Linked DNA regions of Arabidopsis thaliana. The protein of the gene in region 1 interacts with the protein of each later gene in a pairwise test. Each region holds a gene or a part of one and is shown in the gene's direction. Other genes may lie near its edges. The genes, in order: WOL, AT2G45820, AT1G51650 and ALMT1.

What was found.
Region 2: the proteins of WOL (region 1) and AT2G45820 interact in a two-hybrid assay, tested with the Arabidopsis thaliana proteins (one large-scale study listed by BioGRID).
Region 3: the proteins of WOL (region 1) and AT1G51650 interact in a two-hybrid assay, tested with the Arabidopsis thaliana proteins (one large-scale study listed by BioGRID).
Region 4: the proteins of WOL (region 1) and ALMT1 interact in a two-hybrid assay, tested with the Arabidopsis thaliana proteins (one large-scale study listed by BioGRID).

Annotation. Positions count from the first base shown.
Region 1 is NC_003071.7:362,147-370,571, reverse strand, and holds WOL (CHASE domain containing histidine kinase protein), read left to right. Parts: upstream 1-2,214; 5' UTR 2,215-2,555; coding exon 2,556-2,617; exon of another isoform or gene 2,618-3,135; coding exon 3,136-3,685; intron 3,686-3,865; coding exon 3,866-4,102; intron 4,103-4,195; coding exon 4,196-4,365; intron 4,366-4,540; coding exon 4,541-4,759; intron 4,760-4,840; coding exon 4,841-5,079; intron 5,080-5,172; coding exon 5,173-5,402; intron 5,403-5,480; coding exon 5,481-5,579; intron 5,580-5,662; coding exon 5,663-6,867; intron 6,868-7,008; coding exon 7,009-7,240; 3' UTR 7,241-7,589; downstream 7,590-8,425. UniProt on the Arabidopsis thaliana protein: Cytokinins (CK) receptor related to bacterial two-component regulators. Also binds the synthetic urea-type cytokinin thidiazuron, a potent defoliant and herbicide. Functions as a histidine kinase and transmits the stress signal to a downstream MAPK cascade.
Region 2 is NC_003071.7:18,862,056-18,866,505, reverse strand, and holds AT2G45820 (Remorin family protein), read left to right. Parts: upstream 1-1,764; 5' UTR 1,765-1,929; coding exon 1,930-2,083; intron 2,084-2,773; coding exon 2,774-2,827; intron 2,828-2,922; coding exon 2,923-3,010; intron 3,011-3,082; coding exon 3,083-3,359; 3' UTR 3,360-3,553; downstream 3,554-4,450. Other genes in the region: DTA2 (downstream target of AGL15 2), read right to left, coding at 3-182; AT2G45810 (DEA(D/H)-box RNA helicase family protein), read right to left, coding at 4,188-4,266, 4,352-4,425. UniProt on the Arabidopsis thaliana protein: Exhibits a non sequence-specific DNA-binding activity.
Region 3 is NC_003070.9:19,150,701-19,154,949, forward strand, and holds AT1G51650 (ATP synthase epsilon chain), read left to right. Parts: upstream 1-1,807; 5' UTR 1,808-1,979; coding exon 1,980-2,163; intron 2,164-2,912; coding exon 2,913-2,941; 3' UTR 2,942-3,351; downstream 3,352-4,249. Other genes in the region: EXO70G2 (exocyst subunit exo70 family protein G2), read right to left, coding at 1-1,144; MKK4 (mitogen-activated protein kinase kinase 4), read left to right, coding at 3,875-4,249.
Region 4 is NC_003070.9:2,656,395-2,662,128, forward strand, and holds ALMT1 (aluminum-activated malate transporter 1), read left to right. Parts: upstream 1-2,207; 5' UTR 2,208-2,405; coding exon 2,406-2,616; intron 2,617-2,738; coding exon 2,739-2,879; intron 2,880-3,012; coding exon 3,013-3,285; intron 3,286-3,379; coding exon 3,380-3,501; intron 3,502-3,588; coding exon 3,589-3,732; intron 3,733-4,044; coding exon 4,045-4,635; 3' UTR 4,636-4,916; downstream 4,917-5,734. Other genes in the region: BSL2 (BRI1 suppressor 1 (BSU1)-like 2), read left to right, coding at 84-170. UniProt on the Arabidopsis thaliana protein: Malate transporter critical for aluminum tolerance. The STOP1 transcription factor is required for ALMT1 expression.

The DNA of each region.
Region 1 (8,425 bases):
GGAAACAATGGTCAATGCCAAACGGATCACCTTTTTTATAAGACATTTCCCTAAATTAACCATACATAACAAAAAAAGGATATTTGATATTTCCATCGACCCATTTTGTCAATTTTCAAACAATTTTTTTCAATGCATTGACTAATAATGTATAGGGATTCACACATTGTATTTTTGTTTTCAATTATTTTCGTTAGGTTTTAACCATTTATGTTTCTCTAAGGTCTAACCCAAACCCATTTGAGTTAAATTTTAATATATATATATATTAAAAAATAAAATAAAAGAACAAAAAAGAAAATAAAATAAATTCTTTTTCCTTTATAATATAAAGTACAAGTCCCTTGCCCAATAAAATTATGCCACATAAGATTTGTTTATAATTTAAAGAATTATTTAAAATTTTTTAAAAAAAAAACGCTCATTTTTTTTTTCTACATATTTAAAAACAAAAAAATATTCCTAGATTTTCTCACACACCACACCATCATTATCTTTGGAAATTTGTAACCAACTCAAGATTTTCCAAACCGTTTTATCTTCCTCTACAAAAATCCAATTCACGTTAAATCTATCTCTTGCTCTTGCTTCCTCCAAAAAAAAAAAAAAATCATTCCCAGATCCATCGATATGAAATTGTATAGAAAAAATGGTATTCGATCCAAGTTTATTGTCTTCTATTTTTCTTAGGTTAATTTCACTTTATTCCAGATTCATTGTTTGTTTTTTCTTTCTCGGAAGAGCACAATGTGAGTTTCACTGGCCTCTGTTATAAACATATATAGAAATCTGTAACAAAAATCATTACTAAAATTCTGTGACATGTGCAGCGATCAAAGAATCAATAGCGGAAAAAGAAACTACACTGCATTCATCTATGACTGAAAGCTTCTGATCAAGCCATGAAATTAAGGTATCCCAAACACGTATCTTCTCTATGTTTATCAATCTTGCTTTAAGTTCTAATTCTGCATATTTCAAAGGAACCATACAAGTGTTCCTAAAATCCATTTGAATATTCAAAAACTTCTCTCAAATATCATGTAGTTATAGAAGCTACTGTCTCTAAGCGCACGAGAGAAAGCTACACAACCCACGTCAGTTTCCATCTACACATATAAGGTAATAATAATATTTTCATGTATCTTTAATAATAGCTCTATGTTTTTTTCTGTATTTTTCATTATAAAACTCATAACTATGTTATCATTTAATATGGTACTAATTTAATGGGATTGATTTACTATTGCCTCAAACATGTAATAATTTAATGATTTTTTGTTTTTAACGTTTTTAGAAATTCATGAGCATTTTAAATTTGTGGTTAGGTCATAACAATTTGCTATTACAAAAAAAAGAAACACTCTAAATAATATAAAAAATAGTTTACCGTATAATACTAGTAGTAAATAAATAATTTGATTGTTATTCATAAATTTTGAATTCTAAAATCTCCTGAATCAACTCATGCAATTGTCTTAAGAATTACACGTGGATAAATCATGGGCTTATGAGTCAGGCCCATTTAACCGGGGTATTTTCGTAGTTAAGAGACTAGAATGGTGGGTATTTCAGGTAAAAGGTCTATGGGGCCAGATCTGCGCTTTGTCGCGATGTCATTATCGCCAAAGATATGCGATAGCGACTCTCGTACAAAGTCTCTCACTCACCTATATTTTTTGTTTTCTTATATTTCAACAAAAAAACGTTTTATTTTCCTTTTGGTGTAAGTAAAAAAACAAAACAAAACGTTTTATTTCTAAAGTTCAGAAAACTTATTTATACCAAGGAAAAAATAGATAATAAATTTTGAGAAGTTGGTGACTATATATTACTTCACTTATTCAAGAAATTTAAACATGGTAAATGTTACTTTAAATGTTAAATGATGTATAAGAAATGTAATGAAATTGAATAAATGTAGTTTTAAAGATGTTTTAATTAGTAAGACAAACCTAGTTAGTGTCACAATAATTATATTTTTTTTTTTGTCATCCAAAATTATTAAAGCTCAAGTAAACCAATCCTGAGGGATATTATTTACAAATGTGATATGATGCGGTTCGGTGCGGATCTTCCGCGCCAAATTATACGCTTTTATATTAGCATTATAAAAAATTATAGATAAAGAGAAGTTTGTGAATTCTTCATTGTCGCTTTGCAATTTCTCTAAATACACAGTAAATACCGACAATTCGGTTAGAGAAAATATATCTATTTCGTATAATAATGTTAACTTTGAGGAGATTTTGGGTAAAATAATAACTTTTGTTGGATGGATCATATCATGAGCCATTAAGAAAAAGTCCAAAACTTTTCTTCTTCAAAGTTGGACTCAAGTTAGAAAAAGAAAAAAGAGCTAGAGAGATATAAAAATGAAAAGAAAGTTCATGGCAAAAAACTGATATAGACAGAGACACAGAGAGAGAGAAACGTATCTGAAGAAAATCTAAAAAATTCGATTCAATTTTTTTCTTACTTTTAAAAGCAAAAAATCTCACTAAAACAAAAGAAGAAGAAAGAAGAAAGAAAATGGAATACCTACATTTGAAGTGATGAGAAGAGATTTTGTGTATAATAATAATGCAATGTTCAATCCTCTCACAACTCATTACAGGTAACTAAAATAATTTCTCCATGTGCTTGCTTATTAGTCGTTCTTCCTAATGTTATGTTTCTCTCTGTGTTCTTTCTTTCTTTGGTCAAAGCTTTAATTTTTTTTCTATTGTTGGATTTGAGACAGTGAACATAGCTATGTTCTTGTTCCAATAATAAACAATCACGCCTGTAAAGAGCTTATGATTGATTAGTGTGTTTTTTAGTATTAATTAATTTCTCTGACAATAATTACTTAGTTTTTAATTCTTCTCTGTAAGAAACCTTTGGAAACTGAGCAAAGTTGCTTCTTTTGAGAACCATGCGTTTCTTTCTCTCTTTTGTTCTTGAATTCGCAAAAACATGTCCTTTTTCGTCTACAGGTTTCTAGGGTTTGTTTCTGTACTATAAACTATGTTTATGGTAACATTCTTAATCATAACTACACTACCAATGCTTTTATGTTATATGTATGCAAAAAAGGCTCTAACTTTTGTTTTCTTTCACTATTGTTTCTTCTTTTGTTCTCTATTGTTGTAGCTCAGATATGAACTGGGCACTCAACAATCATCAAGAAGAAGAAGAAGAGCCACGAAGAATTGAAATTTCTGATTCCGAGTCACTAGAAAACTTGAAAAGCAGCGATTTTTATCAACTGGGTGGTGGTGGTGCTCTGAATTCGTCAGAAAAGCCGAGAAAGATCGATTTTTGGCGTTCGGGGTTGATGGGTTTTGCGAAGATGCAGCAGCAGCAACAGCTTCAGCATTCAGTGGCGGTGAAGATGAACAATAATAATAATAACGATCTAATGGGTAATAAAAAAGGGTCAACTTTCATACAAGAACATCGAGCATTGTTACCAAAAGCTTTGATTCTGTGGATCATCATTGTTGGGTTTATAAGCAGTGGGATTTATCAGTGGATGGATGATGCTAATAAGATTAGAAGGGAAGAGGTTTTGGTCAGCATGTGTGATCAAAGAGCTAGAATGTTGCAGGATCAATTTAGTGTTAGTGTTAATCATGTTCATGCTTTGGCTATTCTCGTCTCCACTTTTCATTACCACAAGAACCCTTCTGCAATTGATCAGGTCAGTGTGTGCTTTATTAAAAGCTCAAAGCTTTGGTGAAATTTTTGATTCATAAATGCAAAGTTGACTTTTTTTGGAACCAGAAGTTTTTGAAATTTACTCTTTTATGTTTGGTTATTGAGTAAATGAAGGGAAATTTAGGCCTTTGCTTTACTCATTGGTTTGTGGCTAATTTTGCAGGAGACATTTGCGGAGTACACGGCAAGAACAGCATTTGAGAGACCGTTGCTAAGTGGAGTGGCTTATGCTGAAAAAGTTGTGAATTTTGAGAGGGAGATGTTTGAGCGGCAGCACAATTGGGTTATAAAGACAATGGATAGAGGAGAGCCTTCACCGGTTAGGGATGAGTATGCTCCTGTTATATTCTCTCAAGATAGTGTCTCTTACCTTGAGTCACTCGATATGATGTCAGGCGAGGTAATATAAACATTATCAGACACTTATGGTTTTGTTTTTTCGGTTAAGTATCCGACCTGCACCTCTTCTGAATTTTGGCTATCTTTTCTGCAGGAGGATCGTGAGAATATTTTGCGAGCTAGAGAAACCGGAAAAGCTGTCTTGACTAGCCCTTTTAGGTTGTTGGAAACTCACCATCTCGGAGTTGTGTTGACATTCCCTGTCTACAAGTCTTCTCTTCCTGAAAATCCGACTGTCGAAGAGCGTATTGCAGCCACTGCAGGGTAAAGTTCCCATCTGATTACTGGAGCAAACTTTTGCTTGTGATCATGTAAAAAGAGATTTTCGAGATTTCATGATTGGTTTATGTGTGTGATCATGTAAAGGAAAGAGGTTTTTTGAGATTTCAAGATTGGTTTGTGTGTAAAGTAAAGATTGATGCTTGAATTTGAAATGCAGGTACCTTGGTGGTGCGTTTGATGTGGAGTCTCTAGTCGAGAATTTACTTGGTCAGCTTGCTGGTAACCAAGCAATAGTTGTGCATGTGTATGATATCACCAATGCATCAGATCCACTTGTCATGTATGGTAATCAAGATGAAGAAGCCGACAGATCTCTCTCTCATGAGAGCAAGCTCGATTTTGGAGACCCCTTCAGGAAACATAAGATGATATGCAGGTACCACACAGAAAATCTTAAAGCTAAAATACTCTCTGATATCTAAAAACTGATATCTTGTTTGAACAATTTCGAGTGCAGGTACCACCAAAAGGCACCAATACCGTTGAATGTGCTCACAACTGTGCCATTGTTCTTTGCGATTGGTTTCTTGGTGGGTTATATACTGTATGGTGCAGCTATGCACATAGTAAAAGTCGAAGATGATTTCCATGAAATGCAAGAGCTTAAAGTTCGAGCAGAAGCTGCTGATGTCGCTAAATCGCAGTTTCTTGCTACCGTGTCTCACGAGATCAGGACACCAATGAATGGCATTCTCGGTACTACATCTTCAAACAAATTCCAGTACTGTTGCCTTTCATCTTTGGTTTCTCAAACTGCCTCAAAGATTCTGTTTTAAAAATTTTCTGCAGGAATGCTTGCTATGCTCCTAGATACAGAACTAAGCTCGACACAGAGAGATTACGCTCAAACCGCTCAAGTATGTGGTAAAGCTTTGATTGCATTGATAAATGAGGTTCTTGATCGCGCCAAGATTGAAGCTGGAAAGCTGGAGTTGGAATCAGTACCATTTGATATCCGTTCAATATTGGATGATGTCCTTTCTCTATTCTCTGAGGAGTCAAGGAACAAAAGCATTGAGGTAAGTTTTCAATCCAAGGAATAAAGATACATCTATTTGGAGTTGTGGCTGCTAATTTCTTGATTTCAAATTTGGCAGCTCGCGGTTTTCGTTTCAGACAAAGTACCAGAGATAGTCAAAGGAGATTCAGGGAGATTTAGACAGATAATCATAAACCTTGTTGGAAATTCGGTTAAAGTTAGTCCCTATTTCAATCTCTGCCTTTGTTGGCAGCTTGTGTATATGATTTTTGTTTGATCAAGATGTTGTCTTTTTGACAGTTCACAGAGAAAGGACATATCTTTGTTAAAGTCCATCTTGCGGAACAATCAAAAGATGAATCTGAACCGAAAAATGCATTGAATGGTGGAGTGTCTGAAGAAATGATCGTTGTTTCCAAACAGTCAAGTTACAACACATTGAGCGGTTACGAAGCTGCTGATGGTCGGAATAGCTGGGATTCATTCAAGCATTTGGTCTCTGAGGAGCAGTCATTATCGGAGTTTGATATTTCTAGCAATGTTAGGCTTATGGTTTCAATCGAAGACACGGGTATTGGAATCCCTTTAGTTGCGCAAGGCCGTGTGTTTATGCCGTTTATGCAAGCAGATAGCTCGACTTCAAGAAACTATGGAGGTACTGGTATTGGTTTGAGTATAAGCAAGTGTCTTGTTGAACTTATGCGTGGTCAGATAAATTTCATAAGCCGGCCTCATATTGGAAGCACGTTCTGGTTCACGGCTGTTTTAGAGAAATGCGATAAATGCAGTGCGATTAACCATATGAAGAAACCTAATGTGGAACACTTGCCTTCTACTTTTAAAGGAATGAAAGCTATAGTTGTTGATGCTAAGCCTGTTAGAGCTGCTGTGACTAGATACCATATGAAAAGACTCGGAATCAATGTTGATGTCGTGACAAGTCTCAAAACCGCTGTTGTTGCAGCTGCTGCGTTTGAAAGAAACGGTTCTCCTCTCCCAACAAAACCGCAACTTGATATGATCTTAGTAGAGAAAGATTCATGGATTTCAACTGAAGATAATGACTCAGAGATTCGTTTATTGAATTCAAGAACCAACGGAAACGTTCATCACAAGTCTCCGAAACTAGCTCTATTCGCAACAAACATCACAAATTCGGAGTTCGACAGAGCTAAATCCGCAGGATTTGCAGATACGGTAATAATGAAACCGTTAAGAGCAAGCATGATTGGGGCGTGTCTGCAACAAGTTCTCGAGCTGAGAAAAACAAGACAACAACATCCAGAAGGATCATCACCCGCAACTCTCAAGAGCTTGCTTACAGGGAAGAAGATTCTTGTGGTTGATGATAATATAGTTAACAGGAGAGTAGCTGCAGGAGCTCTCAAGAAATTTGGAGCAGAAGTGGTTTGTGCAGAGAGTGGTCAAGTTGCTTTGGGTTTGCTTCAGATTCCACACACTTTCGATGCTTGCTTCATGGATATTCAAATGCCACAGATGGACGGGTAACTAAATCACAACTAATACTATTTTTGGATTATTCGGTTTTTGAATTGTTCGGTATGAAAAATTTCCCGCCAAATTATAACTGACTTGGTTTGGTTCGGATTCGGTTAAAATCTTTTATAAACTTCATTGATTCTCAGATTTGAAGCAACTCGTCAGATAAGAATGATGGAGAAGGAAACTAAAGAGAAGACAAATCTCGAATGGCATTTACCGATTCTAGCGATGACTGCGGATGTGATACACGCGACCTACGAGGAATGTCTGAAAAGTGGGATGGATGGTTACGTCTCCAAACCTTTTGAAGAAGAGAATCTCTATAAATCCGTTGCCAAATCATTCAAACCTAATCCTATCTCACCTTCGTCGTAATCCAATCTTCCGGCGAGTTTTTTTTCTCTCTCCGCAGCCGGAAGAGTGGACCGATTCTGCTGATTGATATGCATTTTGGTTTCTGTACATACAGTAGGTTCACAATCTAGAGATTTTGAAGGTTTTTTTTTCTTTCACCGAAGTAATGTAGCTTGCCATGACTAGTGTATGTTGTTAAACGACAACGTCTAAGACGACGGTTCAGTGTTGATCTTAGCGTAAGTATTAATCCCACGGGATCGTTTGTACTGTATCAGATTTGGTTAGTCGTTTAAACATTGTAATGTTCTAATAATAACTTTTCCATATATAACATCTTCTTATAACTTGAGACGAGACCATTTTGATTCATCTTTTGAGCTTGTTTAGCAACCAAATCGGTTAGCTAGTTGAACGAAGATCAGAGAAAGAGCTCAAACAACTCTTCATTAGCTATAGCTCAGTCGACGACTTGAGCTTTCAAACAACAGAAACAGAGCAAAGCTTAAAAACGACTGCGTTTTACTATTGGTTCGTCGATCTCACTAAACCGAGTGAGATAACCAAAGCCAATCAACAACCCTTTAATCGGATCTCTCGATGTAATCTATAAAGGATGAGAAGAATTAGGAACTTGTCCAAGAAGAGTATATAGAAAATATCTGACTTTTTGTTTGTTTTTTATATACTCTATCGACTTATTTTATCAGTTTCAGTAGGAACGCAACGAAATACTACAGAATGAATTTCTCCCGATTTAGGTAGAATTGGATCACCACACTGTTAGGTTCTAATTTGAAATGCCTTCCGACTAATACCAAGGATAATCATACCGTCTGCATTTCTAACTACCAAATAAATTAATTGGACCAAATCACAACTGAGAGACTTTCTAAACAAATTTGTTATTGTTTTCATGAAAAATCAAACTCAGGTATAGGAGTTAAAGTTTCCTTGTGCCACTACACCAAAGAGGTTTGGACAAATATCTGATTTTTAGAATTATTGAGAATTTAAGAAATGATTGAAAAAAGAAGTAAGTGAAATAAATGTGGTTGATGTGTGACCGTAACGAACAGCAAAGTGGACTAGTTGTTGTTGTCACGTAATCTTTCTACGTACACAAGTGTTCGATCTACATTTCGTGCGAGTTTATAGTATATGGTTGGTGCGTATAATACACCAATCTTTAGCTACTTTTACTAT
Region 2 (4,450 bases), about 18 Mb from region 1:
ACGAAATCGAAACAACCCAATAAGTCTAAGAGACCAGCAGATATGAAGAGAGAGGTGACGAGGAACAGAGTAGCTTTAGCGATGCTTTTTGCTGGATGCGACGCCGTTTTAAGATAGACATACTTATTCTTGTTCGTTAGAAGATTGTTGTTGTTCCTCTTCATGCTTTTCCGTTGAAGCATGAATCTATATCTATCTCAGCTTTATATATATCTATGTTCACAAACATTCAACAGGAAGAGAAGAAAAACGAGAATCAGGTGAGATTAAACGTTACCGAAGCTAGGAGGAAGCTCAAAGGTTTGATTCTGGTGATCGATTGGTGCTCTTCCACGAGGATTTGAATCTTGTTTCACGTTATCTTCAACACTAACCAGAGTTCACATCTTTTGTGTTAATGACGTTCATATTTTTGTGTGAATCTTGTTTACTTTTTAGTTTTTCGAAGAGTTAAAATGTTTTTAAATATTAAATAGATAATATTTTATTAATTAGTAGGAGACATTTGGTCATCCATATTTGGTATTCCTATGCTCAAATCACATATGGACATTGATATGTGATACACAAATGTTTCCCAAATAATCGTCTCTTATTAACGTTGTATTTATTGGTAAATAACTAAATACAAGACCTTTGATGTTCTTAGAAAAATAATCTGCTTACTACAAAAATAAAACTGCAAGAGTTCAATTAATTAAAGTCCTCTTTGGGAAAGTTTGTTATAAGTGCTTTAAACTGAATAAAAGAATCCGAACTTCGAAGAAAGAAGAAAGAAGATAAACCTTAACCCATTAAATAAAGGTCAGTGACATCATAGTCCATATTCGACCACTCATCATCATACAAGACAGATAATTAATCGTAAATAATTCCATGTTGTAGAGTACTTTTTATTATTATACAAATACATTAATACATCTTTCACAGGCTGTTCGAAACTGTGAGTCTGTGATTAGTGATTAGCCTTAATTAATTTACTTTATTGCTTTGTTAGAAAAAAAATTACACCTTTCTTTAAATTAAAACAAGTTGGGCAGGAAATTTAAAAACCCGTTGGGCCATTAGGATTCACAAAAGCCCAACACCTACAAAAAGAGATGTCTCCATCTCATAGTCCATATACCACATGCTTAAACCAGTTTAAATTGCATATACCACGCGCCACATAACCGGAAAGTTTTGTACACGCGCGAGACACAGACATTATCCTTTTTGTATCTGTCTTCCAGCGTGTCGAGTCAGTGAGGCTCCACGTCACCCTTTGATCCACTTAAATTTTAAAACTAAAATAATTGTTTAAATGAATTCGAGTGATTGATATTTTATTATAGATTTAATACACACCCGACACTCTGTCAATTCTATAGGCATACGAGCTCACTCCAAATTTAGATTCAGTTTTTTAATACGAACTTTTTAGTTAAGCCAAGATTAGCAATAATATAGATCATTTATTTTCTTGATTGTAGTTTGATTGTTGTTTTTCTCATAATAAAAAAATCCCAGCTAAAATCTGATTTTCAATTTTAAACCAATTTATATGGTAAACAAAATTTTAGTTCGGTATAATTGGAAGAATTAAGTTTTGTTGAATATCAGGAAAAAAGAAGGGGAGGACAAATTTTCTACAGAGGTGACGTGGCATCATTGAACCACTTTACTTGTCGGCAGTGAGGTGTGTTTAATCACGTGTAACGCATCCAATGCGTATGAGAGCTTTACAGCCGCACGATCACATGGGTACAAAAATCAACGGCGAAGCAAAACAAGAGTCTCACACTTATTAAACGCGCGTAGTACGCTCCACCGGTATAAGCTAACGGAGGATATAAAAACTCTTTAACTCATTATTGTCCTAAAATCTCAATTTTATCCATTTTCACGGAAAAAACATAAAATCTGTTCTTCTTCTTCGGCTGAGAGACAATGGCGGAGGAGCAAAAGACGAGTAAGGTTGACGTAGAATCTCCGGCTGTTTTAGCTCCGGCGAAGGAACCGACTCCTGCTCCGGTGGAAGTCGCGGATGAGAAAATTCATAATCCACCTCCCGTCGAGTCCAAAGCTCTTGCCGTTGTAGAAAGTAAGCTTTCTATTTACATACGTGTGTGTTTTATATATGTTAATCTTCTACTTAGGAGGATTCATTCATGTTTACGATGAATTATTATAGTATGTAATTCAGAATTCTTACGTTTGGAACTAAGGTTTCAATTTACAATTAACAAATGGATTTTCTTAAGATGCCTAAGGTTTTTGTGAGTTCTTTTGCATATGACTTGGTCTATACTCTATTTGTTTAGGTGAAATCCATCGCTGTTAGAATTTACAACTTCATCATGGCATTTTCAAGAGAATTATGTTTTTCGAGGATGATATTATTAAAATATGATTAATAGTAAAGCAATGTTCCCTGTAATTAGTGTTATCAAAAAGTGTATGGAATCATGACAAATTAGTTGTGGACAGCTATGAATTAAGGAAAGTGGGTTACTTTCTTAATATTCCTACATTTTTTCCTTCCTTTAAAGTTGCTTAACTCTTGGAAAATAACAATTAAGTACTAACTTTCCAGCAGTTTTTATAATCCTTGAACATTCATTTGTTCATCTTTATTTACTATCTGTAATTCCTTCTGTGTGGAGTTTCGTTTTATAAACTACTATTTTGATGACCTTATTAGCCAATTAGAGCAACAAAATTTAACTTAGTTAAAAGTGAGCTTCTTGCAACAAATATCCATGTGTTATACTTATAAGTGTGCTTCTTGCAGAACCCATCGAGGAGCATACACCTAAGAAAGCTTCATCTGGTTCGGCCGATAGAGGTCAGCTGATAACAACACTTTGTTTCTCATGTCCAGTTTCTTAGTTACTTAGTTCAGTAATTTACTTCAAATGTGTGTTGTGTGTGTTTGGTCAGATGTGATACTTGCCGACTTGGAAAAAGAGAAGAAAACGTCATTCATCAAAGCATGGGAAGAGAGTGAGAAGTCAAAGGCTGAGAACAGGTAAACTTTCATCATCTTCTCACCCAAAGATTACTATTGCTTACAGATCTCTGATGATCTTGAAATGGACAGGGCACAAAAGAAGATCTCTGATGTGCATGCTTGGGAAAATAGCAAGAAAGCAGCCGTAGAAGCTCAACTTAGGAAGATCGAGGAAAAATTAGAGAAGAAAAAAGCGCAGTACGGTGAGAAAATGAAGAACAAAGTAGCTGCAATCCACAAGTTAGCAGAAGAGAAGAGAGCAATGGTTGAAGCTAAAAAAGGAGAAGAGCTTCTCAAAGCTGAAGAAATGGGTGCTAAGTATAGAGCCACTGGTGTAGTACCAAAGGCAACGTGTGGATGTTTCTAAGCCTTTATTGAATTTGTATCTTTGTAACAATTCATCTCTGTTTCTTTCTTCTTCTTTTGTTTTTGTGTGATTCAACAACTCTTTTTAGTTTTTGTTATTTGTTTGGTCGTTTGTGTCTTGTTTACATATTGGGTGATTGTGTGTAAAAGTGAAAGATTAATGGAGTATAATTGTATGAAGCATCAAATCTTGTTTTGCCTTTTGTTTCAGTTGTACGACTTCACATCTGATCTGTAACTCTTAAAATGCTAAGACACTTGACTTGACACACACCAACTATAATCCTTAAACAGTTCAGGCACAGGTGGAGATCTAAAAGCAATAAACAAGCGAATGAAGTTAAAATGTCTTCTTCGGTTTGATCTCACTACTCGGAAATTCCTCTCAAGTCTTCAAGATGAGAGAACATCAAAATGAAAAGGTGAAAAGGTTTCTAAGAACATGAAAATTAGAGATGAGAGAAGACAACTTTAAGGTTCATATCATGCAGCAGAAGAAGTCTTCAATTCAAACCAAATCAAGCCGGTACTGCTTTAAAGGTTTAGACACAATCAACCGCTTCCATCGCCATCAACCACCTATACTGTCTCTTCTTGCCTCAGTACAGTACTCTATGTGTTGCCTTCATCTCTAGAACGAGCTAGTGGCTGCCAAAGCTGAATGATTTGCCTCCTCACTACACCTAAATAACCGCAAACCAAAATCAATGGAAATTTGGTCTATGAGCAATGCAGGTTAGTTCTAATGTCAAGATGCCTAGAGAGGGATTTGTCTCACCGGTTAGTCCATCAATGCCTTGCCGGGTAGAGAATGTACACCAGGTAGAAGTTACTGACAGTAGATTGCCTTGTCGATAAGTGAAGGTATGGGCTTGATTTCAGTTCCAAGTTCTTGCTCTGTCTGATACCTGTTGGAAACCAAATAATTGAGTAAGAAAGCTATAGCATCTATGAAAAGAGAGGCCACACCAGTTGAGAAAAAGAAACACGAACATTTTGAAGCGGTCCTCATAAGTTACCAAATTCACAGCCAACCCAAGGTGTCCAAATCGTCCTGATCTGCCTACCTGGTAATATAATGAAGCAAAAACC
Region 3 (4,249 bases), on another chromosome or scaffold:
AATTTGGTCTCTGTAGCTCTACCTGACAAGGTAACTCCCAGAAGATCTCGGAGACACCCTTAACGAGATTGCTGATTAGCTCCCGTGTAACTCTGCGTATCTCTGAACATTGTTCCCCTCGAAATAGCCTGTTAAACTCTATCCGAAAGTTGTCCATTGTAGAGAAACAATCTAAGAGCTTGATCAGCTTTGGTGGCTCTCTCTTGCATTTGCTGATTCTTGATCCAAATCTGAGAAGCTGAAGGATCACTGAATTTGAAGCTATTTCTCCAAAGCAACGCAAGGGAACATCTTCTCCAATATCTTCAAATACGTCATAGCAGAGCTTACTCTCAAACTCGTATATCTCTTTCACAGCTATCTCCATATGCAATCTCCATTGATCTATATCGCCTTCAATATCATGTACATTATCAGCTTCTGTGATTGTTTTCTCCAGATAACTAATCTCAAACCGTTTCTGAATGACCTTGGTGCGGACTTTGATGTAAACTGGTACGCAGCTTGTTAACCGCGTGTGAGCATGTAATCTCTTGATGATAGCCTGCAACTTTCTCAAGTTGTCTTCTGAGAAAACCGGCTTCTCTTGGAGAATCCGCTTGAATTCTGTTTCAAGATTCTTCAGCGCTGTGTAAAGAATACCTCCTTTGAGATAAGCACGAGACTCGGTCATTTGCAATTCCCGGAGAAGCTCTATGGAAGTCTTGAACCGCAAACCGCAAGGATGATCTTCAGGCATTCCCTTTTCGGTTAGGTACTCGATCGTATCTTCTAGCCAGTTAAGAGCAAGAACACAGCTACTGGAGAGAAGCTTCATCGCTTCTCCAAGACGTTTAACATCCGAAACATAACCAAGGACTCCATCAGAGGACACGAGAGATCTCTCAAGCTCTTGAACCGTAGCAAAGACTCTCAGGACAGCGGATATTGGAGCAATGGTGTGACGGATATGATCAGAGAAAGGAGAAGCCTTCCATCTCTCAACTTTAAGATCAGCTTCTAAAGACGACAACTTATGGTTGATCTCTTCAATCTTGGATCCAGTCTTGTTAAGAACCAATGAAAAGGTTTCAGATTTCTCCATCTCACTCTTCAATAAACTTCTCATTGCTTTAAGCCTCTCAAGTCTCTTTGATTCAGCCATTGTTTTGCTGCTTACTCAGTGGAGGAGGATATGATTGTTGCTTCAACAACTATATATGGATTTGATAACAATCCTTTATCCTCGGAAGATAAACCAAATTTCTTACCAAACCCACCAAAATAAGTAATTACCAGTGTTCTTCTTCTAAAGACTTCTATAAACCAAAACAAGATCACATATAATCATTAACTTAAAGCAAAACCCAAAGTCTTGTTTTATTTGTTAGTCAGCTCAACCATCTTTATCTGAAACTAAACTGTTTCTCTCTTCTTTGTTTCTGACAAGTCAATGAGATTGGTGTCTTCTCTCTGTTGCACATTTAATATTAACTTTTGAAAAACTACAAAACGAAACAAAACAAAGAAAAGCAGACATTTACACGAAATTATGCAGACATATACACGAAATTCAATCTACCTGAAAATGAGAATAAGTTTTGAGTAAATTTCGTGGAGACTCCTGGAAATAAGTTTGTTTGTTTTCCTATTTTTATGTAACTTCGCTTAAATTTCTAATTGCCTAATCAAGGTATTAAAATAGCAAAGCTTGGTTTGGCTCAGTCTTCGCGTAAACTCCAAGAAACAATCATAAAAACAAATAAAAAAGACAAGAAACCAAAAAAAAAAAAAAAGTTGAGAGATTTCAGTAGATGAAAGTTGGATAGAAGATTCGTGTAGTTAGCTACTTAATGGGCCGTTAAAATATTTAATAAGGCCCATTGGGTCTAAACTGTGTTAGGATTACTAGGGCACAGAATCGGTCTCTGTCCCATTTCGCGAACTTTCTCCTTAGAATCGGAACGGACGAAGAAGGAAGACAAGGAAGAAGATCGGAGATGGCATCGAATGCGGCGGTTCCGTTCTGGAGAGCGGCGGGGATGACATATATATCGTATTCAAACATCTGTGCGAATATCGTGAGGAACTGTCTCAAGGAGCCACACAAAGCTGAAGCTCTTACTCGCGAGAAGGTTCACTTCTCTCTCTCCAAATGGGCTGATGGAAAGCCCCAGAAACCTGGTAAGCCTTTTCGATCCTTTAATCGTCGATGTTGGATCTTAGATCTGGATTCTTCACGTTCTTGTGTTCTCGATTCCTGATTTGTTTTTGAGTAATTTGTTGGAATAATCTGATTTCCTAAAAGTTATCGGAATTAAGTGGAAAGTGAATCATCTGCTTCTGGATTTGATCTTCGATTTTGCATTTAACCTTTCCTCTGCTTCTGGATTTGATCAGTTCAATACTATCTTCATACAATGTTGTTATGTCCAAATTGTTGAATTTTTCATTTAGAGTTAGCTTCAGAGAAAACAACAAAACTAGTAGTATGTGTGAAACAAGAACATGAAGAAGATGGAAAGCTGATTGGGAACATTGCATTTAGATGTCTTTTCTCGTTTATGTTTGGATCTGAATTCTTCATGTTCTTGTTGTGTGTCATTGAAATTGTTGGAATACGTAGATATCAGAGTAGGTCATTTTGGGAAAGCTATTGAATTTAAGAGGAAGATGAATCATTTTAACAAGCTCCATCGATTTTGCGCTTAATCTGTCTCTCTTCTGCTTCTGGATTTGATTAATTTCATTCTATTTTGTTTTCTCATAAGTTGTTGTTATGTTCAAATTGTTGAATTTGGAATGATTTCATTTCTCAAATAGGGTTTACTGAGACAATGATTCCAGATTTAGTCTATCTGAAAATGGTTCAGCTTTCTTCTTGTTGATCCATTTGTCTAACATTCTCTCATGTTTTTGTTTTTCCTTGACAGTTTTGCGGTCAGACACACCTGAAGTTTGAAGTCAACTTTGAGCTTATGTTCTTAAGGGATTCAAAAGTAACTGAGTTACCAAGATTTGTTTTCTTTTTATTGTCAACAATGGAGCTTGAGTGAAAAACTCATTTCCGATCATAATAATGACACACTGAGTCTTGTGTATCTCTTTTCTTCTTTTGCTATTCTGTTTCACTTTTTGTATGCGAACAATGAAAAAAAGCCTTTAAAGACTCTTCTGGCTAAAGACAAGTTCTTTTGATTGTTACAGAACAGTGAGAATAGCATAAAACTAAGCACATACGTGGAGAATCAATACACTGTCAGAAGTTGAGAGAAGACCATACTTAATATTAAACATGAGAATATACAAACTGATTTTCTGAATCATGTATTTTGAATCGCAGTACGCATATTTGCAGGTTAGACCATCTCCAATGTCACTTTTACGCGTTTGTTTGATTTAAATTCGATTTCCTCTTCTTGGTTTATATCACAAAACCAACAAAACGACACCGCGTAAAGTCTGAAAAAAACTTAACAGAGCCAGAAGTGCCCAGTGAACCAACCACACAAAGTCACAAATGGTTTCCGTGCTTGAAAGTGATCCTCACGCGCTTTACACATCGCGTAGATACCTTTTTCTCGATTTTAACAATTTTGCTATTTATTTCCTTTTAATTAATTTTCTCAAAATAAAAATTAACGTTCCCTTTTCAGTGTCCTTTCAATTTCTTTCGACGAAACTTCATTTCTCAATTTCTTTTGATTTTGATCGCTTCGAAGAACGAATCAATTTAAGCCTGCCACAAACAAACCCTAGAATACGACAACGCACGACGACGAAGAAGTCGAAGAAGACTACTACTATAAACGACGAAGATCATTACTTCAATCTTCAATCGAGCTTTTAAATTTTCAGATCGTAGAAGAAAATCGAACTTTTGATTCCAAAAGCGATGAGACCGATTCAATCGCCTCCAGGAGTTTCCGTTCCGGTGAAAAGCCGTCCCCGTCGCCGTCCTGATCTTACCTTACCGCTTCCTCAACGCGATGTTTCTCTCGCTGTACCTCTTCCTCTCCCACCTACTTCCGGTGGTTCCGGTGGCTCTAGTGGATCTGCGCCGTCTTCTGGTGGTTCGGCGTCTTCAACGAACACTAACAGCTCCATAGAAGCGAAGAACTATTCGGATTTAGTGAGAGGTAACCGTATCGGAAGCGGAGCAGGTGGAACGGTATACAAAGTGATTCACCGTCCGAGTTCTCGTCTATATGCACTTAAGGTGATATACGGTAACCACGAGGAGACTGTGAGACGTCAGATCTGTAGAGAG
Region 4 (5,734 bases), on another chromosome or scaffold:
ATTGCTTCATTTCATTACTGAATCTTAGTCCATAGTTATTGACCTGAAACATTGGTACTTAGCGTAGTATGCACTTTTCGCAGGAGCTGAACGCAAATAGGCCAGCGACGCCAACCCGAGGACGCCCACAAAATTCAAATGACCGAGGAGGTTCTCTGGCTTGGATGTGAGGCAGATAAAGAGGCACTCGTGCACATACATACCGCTCCAAAAAACACTTGTAACATCTGCCTCCTGGTGTTCCTCATGTGTACAGAAAAAGATGAGCCATAGACGAGAAACGATGAGGCTTGAAGATATCAGGGGGTGTGTAAATTAAGATGTTAAAAGGTTAGAGAAGTCAGTTTTGGTGGTGGTTTAGTAGTGATTTGTAGAGTTTATTTGTCCGGGCTTTAGTCCTCTCGTTCATTTTTATTCAGTCTGCTGTTTCTTCTTTTTTTTTATCATGTCATATCTTTCTTTTTTCCTCTTCAATTGTCTCCGTTGTTTTCGTTTGTGGTATAGTTTTTTGGCGAGTGGGTATGAATTCTTAGAATGGTAATGGTTGATTAGGTGGAGGATGGTCTGATGTCGTGGGGGGGGGGGGCTTTTGTGTATTTTAATTTTATTGTCAGTTCATACTTTGTAACATTTGTGTTGATTATATGATACGAAAAATTTTCCTGGCTCCTTTTGGTTGTCTAAGCTAGACCAAAAAAGAAGAGAAAAGAAAGAACTTATGCCCTTGAAAGCGACTTTGAGTTGGTTCATGGATCCTCGGGTGATGGACTCAGTCACTCGATTTGCTTGAGATTCATAAATTTATACATGTGCTTTGTGGCCTTCAAATGAAACACTGGTGATGTCGATATGATGTGATTTGGCATCGATGCTGTCATTGGCTCCAAAAAATCATGTTTTAGCGGTGAGAACAAAAAAAACAAAATTTTTGGAGGATCAGATGGTTGAAGTTAAAACTCGAGGGTATTAGATGGTTAAATTTTAATATTGTTTTGGATATAGGATGGTGATTAAAAAAAAAAAGTTTTGATTAGTGTTGGTGCAGGAATTAGCATCTCCGATAATACCAATTTAAACCAAGGAATAACGTGAATAAAATCGAGAATTCGATTGAACCGGGGTATCCCGGCTAGTCTGTTAATGGGCCTAAGTCATGAGCTCGCCAGAAGATTTAGGTCGACAGTCAAGATCGCCATAGGCGGCTTCTCAGGTCGTGTAAAGGGAAAACTTCCATTTAAGAGAAGAGGATCTCATGAAGAATAGAAGTAATGAAGATTTAGACCTAAGATAATTAGAAGTTTATCATATTTTGGTATGTTGGACCCATTGTATAAATAGGGGGGGGGGGTCAAGCCCTCTAAGAGGATCATGACCAACCTAAGACAAGAGACTACTATTACAGAGCAAACTCTAGCTTTTTATTCAAGCAACTTTGTTCTTCTCCTTTGATTATTCGTGAGCTAAGAGAGAAGTGAATTTGTCTAAATCCCTTAGTACAAATTAATTGTTTGATTAGAGAATCAACAATTAGTTTTGAACCTGATGATGTATTGGTCAAACTTGTAATCATCGCATCTGAGTTTGAGGTCATTTTTTCCAACTGTTGTTATACATATAAAATATCCAAAGAATAAAAGCCTTGTACGATCGGGGTATTGGGGTCCGTACCAACTTGTTGACATTTTTTATGTTTTTGGTGTGTGGCAGACTAGATTGAAACAATAATGACTAAGCAACTCAGTAAGAGTCCTTTTTTTGGACTCAGTAAAAGAGTCCAAGTTTTCTTTGAACAACAAAATTTTGTTGAGGTGTGTATGCACTTGGTTGGGAACAAACAAGTAGATGGCAAAGATCATTCGAACATTGGAGCCCAAGTGTTGAGGGCACTAATCTTGTCGATTACAGAAACGAAATTATTTGGGGAAGCTGCAAGAAAAAGTTTAGTTAAATCTTTTATATTCCTTAATCAAAATGTATCATGCATACACTATATACAATTCACTAAAGTATGATAGTTAAATACCTAATTAATATCATGATCAACTCCTACCGGTTCATCTAACTAATCCAGCTCAGCATAAAAACCCTCACGCGTCGCTCCAATTAAGGGGAGGGCTTAACTAGTGCCCAACTTACTGGGCTAGGTTCGACTCCGTTTTTTTATTACATTTTCCTTTTCCATTTCTTTAAGACTTTAACCCTGAAATCTCGAAGTGCAACGCACCACTAATTTTTTATAAATATTAACATAACATTTCATGAGTCCTAAACAAGAGTCTCTCTTGGTCTTTATAAATACATCGATCCATGTACATAAAAACAACAAGTCATCTTTTCTTTCTATCTGAAAGTAATCAGAGAATCAGAAAACACTTGAGAGAGCTGAGTGACCATCAAAAGGTGTTATGGAGAAAGTGAGAGAGATAGTGAGAGAAGGGATTAGAGTAGGGAATGAAGACCCGAGAAGAATTATTCATGCTTTCAAAGTGGGACTTGCTCTTGTTTTGGTCTCTTCCTTCTATTATTACCAACCTTTCGGTCCTTTCACCGATTACTTCGGTATCAATGCAATGTGGGCTGTCATGACCGTCGTTGTTGTCTTTGAATTCTCCGTAGGTTCGTCATCTAGTTTCTATCATTTGAATATGTCTAGTAGATATATCTAGGGAGAATGCAAGAATTTTTGTTGTAAACTTTTGGCCATAATATTAAATAACTTTGGTTTGATGTGTACTTAGGGGCTACACTTGGGAAAGGACTAAATAGAGGAGTGGCAACATTAGTAGCAGGAGGACTAGGAATTGGAGCTCATCAACTAGCAAGATTGTCGGGTGCAACAGTGGAACCTATTCTTTTGGTCATGTTGGTCTTTGTGCAAGGTAAACCCTTATAACACTCTTTACATTTTCAGATTACCATGCGTTTCCAAGCGTTTGGTCAATCATTGTTTGGCTAAAGACTAGATCAAAGAAGATTGGGCAATGAGTAATTAGTATTGTGATATATGTGCAGCTGCGTTGTCGACGTTCGTAAGGTTTTTCCCATGGGTAAAGACAAAGTTCGATTATGGGATATTGATATTCATATTGACGTTCGCGCTGATATCGTTGTCGGGGTTTAGAGACGAAGAGATAATGGATTTGGCAGAAAGCAGACTATCGACAGTGGTGATTGGAGGAGTCAGTTGCATCCTTATCTCTATCTTTGTCTGTCCTGTTTGGGCTGGACAAGATCTACATTCTCTCCTTGCCTCTAACTTTGACACTCTCTCCCACTTCCTTCAAGGTTTTTTATTTCTTTCTCTTTTTCTTTTCCTCATTATGTCTCTACAAGAACATAAATATATACATATACGAGATAGTGAATGTGAAATTGGCAGATTTTGGGGACGAATATTTTGAAGCGAGAGAGAAGGGGGACTACAAAGTAGTGGAGAAGAGGAAAAAGAATCTTGAGAGATATAAAAGTGTTCTTGACTCCAAAAGCGATGAAGAAGCTTTGGTGGGCTACTCTCTCTCTTTCTTTCCCTACTTGCTTCACAATTATGAAATCATTTGGATTGATTTTGTTTTGATATTTTGCGTTTAGGCTAATTACGCAGAATGGGAACCGCCTCATGGACAATTTAGGTTTAGGCATCCATGGAAACAATATGTTGCCGTTGGTGCATTACTCCGGCAGTGTGCCTACAGGATTGATGCCTTGAATTCATACATCAACTCAGATTTTCAGGTAATCGCTAACTTTTTGTTAGGTGTTTGCATATTTAATTAAAACAAAATTTGAAAATACATAAAAGAAGAAAAACTAATATGCTATTATGCTATAACTATTTTTGATCTAATACAATATATATATCTATATATATATATATATATATATTTACATGTCGCAAATGCAAACACAAAAATAACATCAGGTTGAAATTCTTAGTCTGTTAATTTGTTTATATAGTTTTTTTTTTTAGTGTAAACATGTATAGTAGTATATGTTTCTGGTTAACGTGTTTCTAACCCTTTGTTTATTTCTTATTTTTTCTATTAGATCCCAGTGGACATAAAAAAGAAATTAGAAACACCATTAAGAAGAATGAGCTCGGAATCGGGAAACTCAATGAAAGAAATGTCCATTTCACTAAAACAAATGATAAAATCATCTTCTTCTGATATCCATGTCTCAAACTCACAAGCTGCATGCAAATCTCTTTCTACTTTACTTAAATCAGGCATCTTGAACGATGTTGAGCCTCTTCAAATGATCTCATTGATGACGACTGTCTCCATGCTCATAGATATTGTTAACTTAACCGAAAAGATCTCGGAATCTGTACACGAGCTTGCATCCGCTGCAAGATTTAAGAACAAGATGAGGCCGACCGTGCTATACGAGAAGTCGGATTCCGGAAGCATTGGTCGTGCCATGCCAATAGATTCTCATGAAGATCATCATGTTGTCACAGTTTTACATGACGTTGATAATGATAGATCAAACAATGTTGATGATTCACGTGGAGGGAGTTCACAGGACTCATGTCATCATGTTGCCATAAAGATTGTTGATGATAACTCAAACCATGAAAAACATGAAGATGGTGAAATACATGTACATACATTAAGTAATGGGCATCTTCAGTAAGTAATTCAACTCATTATTTGAGGAGCAGTCTTTTGTACCCGCAAGATTATAGAGACGAGACCATCGGTATATAACATATTCGGGTATTTCATTCAGATTTGAAGTTTGTTACAAATACTATTGTCGCCTTTGATCATTTTTGAACTATTGGTCACACATTTAATAAAGTCTTGGTCTTCGTTTTCCTTTGCGTTACTCTTTTAAAGATTTTTATATCCAACTGATCAAAAAATTTAAAAATAGCATGGTTTTATTTTTGGATTATGGTGTTTTAGAGAGCTAACCTCAGTAAATAAAAGAACATAGACCGGCGCCAGATAAAGACAAGTCCGGCAAAAACTCTAGATTGTTATTTTCTATGAATATAATTAATTTTATTCCAAACATATATCGTATGAAAAAAAAAATCATTTATCATTGGAGGAGGCGGTGATCAGGCGCAGTGAGAGGAGGAGTCGGTTAACAAAAGTGGTCTTGGCCAGTGCCAAAGCGTCATTGTAATCGCTTTCAATTCTCAAAACCAATACGGTAATATGCACAACTAATAGAATGTTTCAGGTGACAAATTTTCTCACTAAAGTCAAACTTTCATACTTGCCGATGAAGTAACAAACATACAGTACGTTCAATACATTAAGGATATATATAAGAAACAAAAGCTGGAAATTGTGTGAATTTAGCTAGGTTAGATTATAGTATAATAAAGTTGCCTTGTACGATTGGGGTAATGGCTAATGGATTCCGTACGTTGATGCCAACTTGGTATTGGCAAGGCTGAGTGTGACTCGGTGCAAAAAGCACCAGCTGCTATCTAATTCCGCGTTCTAACCAATACTACATTTTCATTTATTATTACTTTTTACAATCCATAAATCTCTCTGCTGTGGAGGGTTGATATAAGATCCGAAACTTCTTTGTTGATAAAAAAAAATCTAACAATCTTCCAAGTTCAAATCTCACTCAGGAAATATGAATGACTGAATATTTAATTAGATATTATCGAAATTGTGATTCTTGTTGACAAAAAAAAACAAATCTCATAAGAAGTGGTGATGTCAGTTTTCGTTGAGAGAAAGAGAATTTAAGTGGATATGTTCAA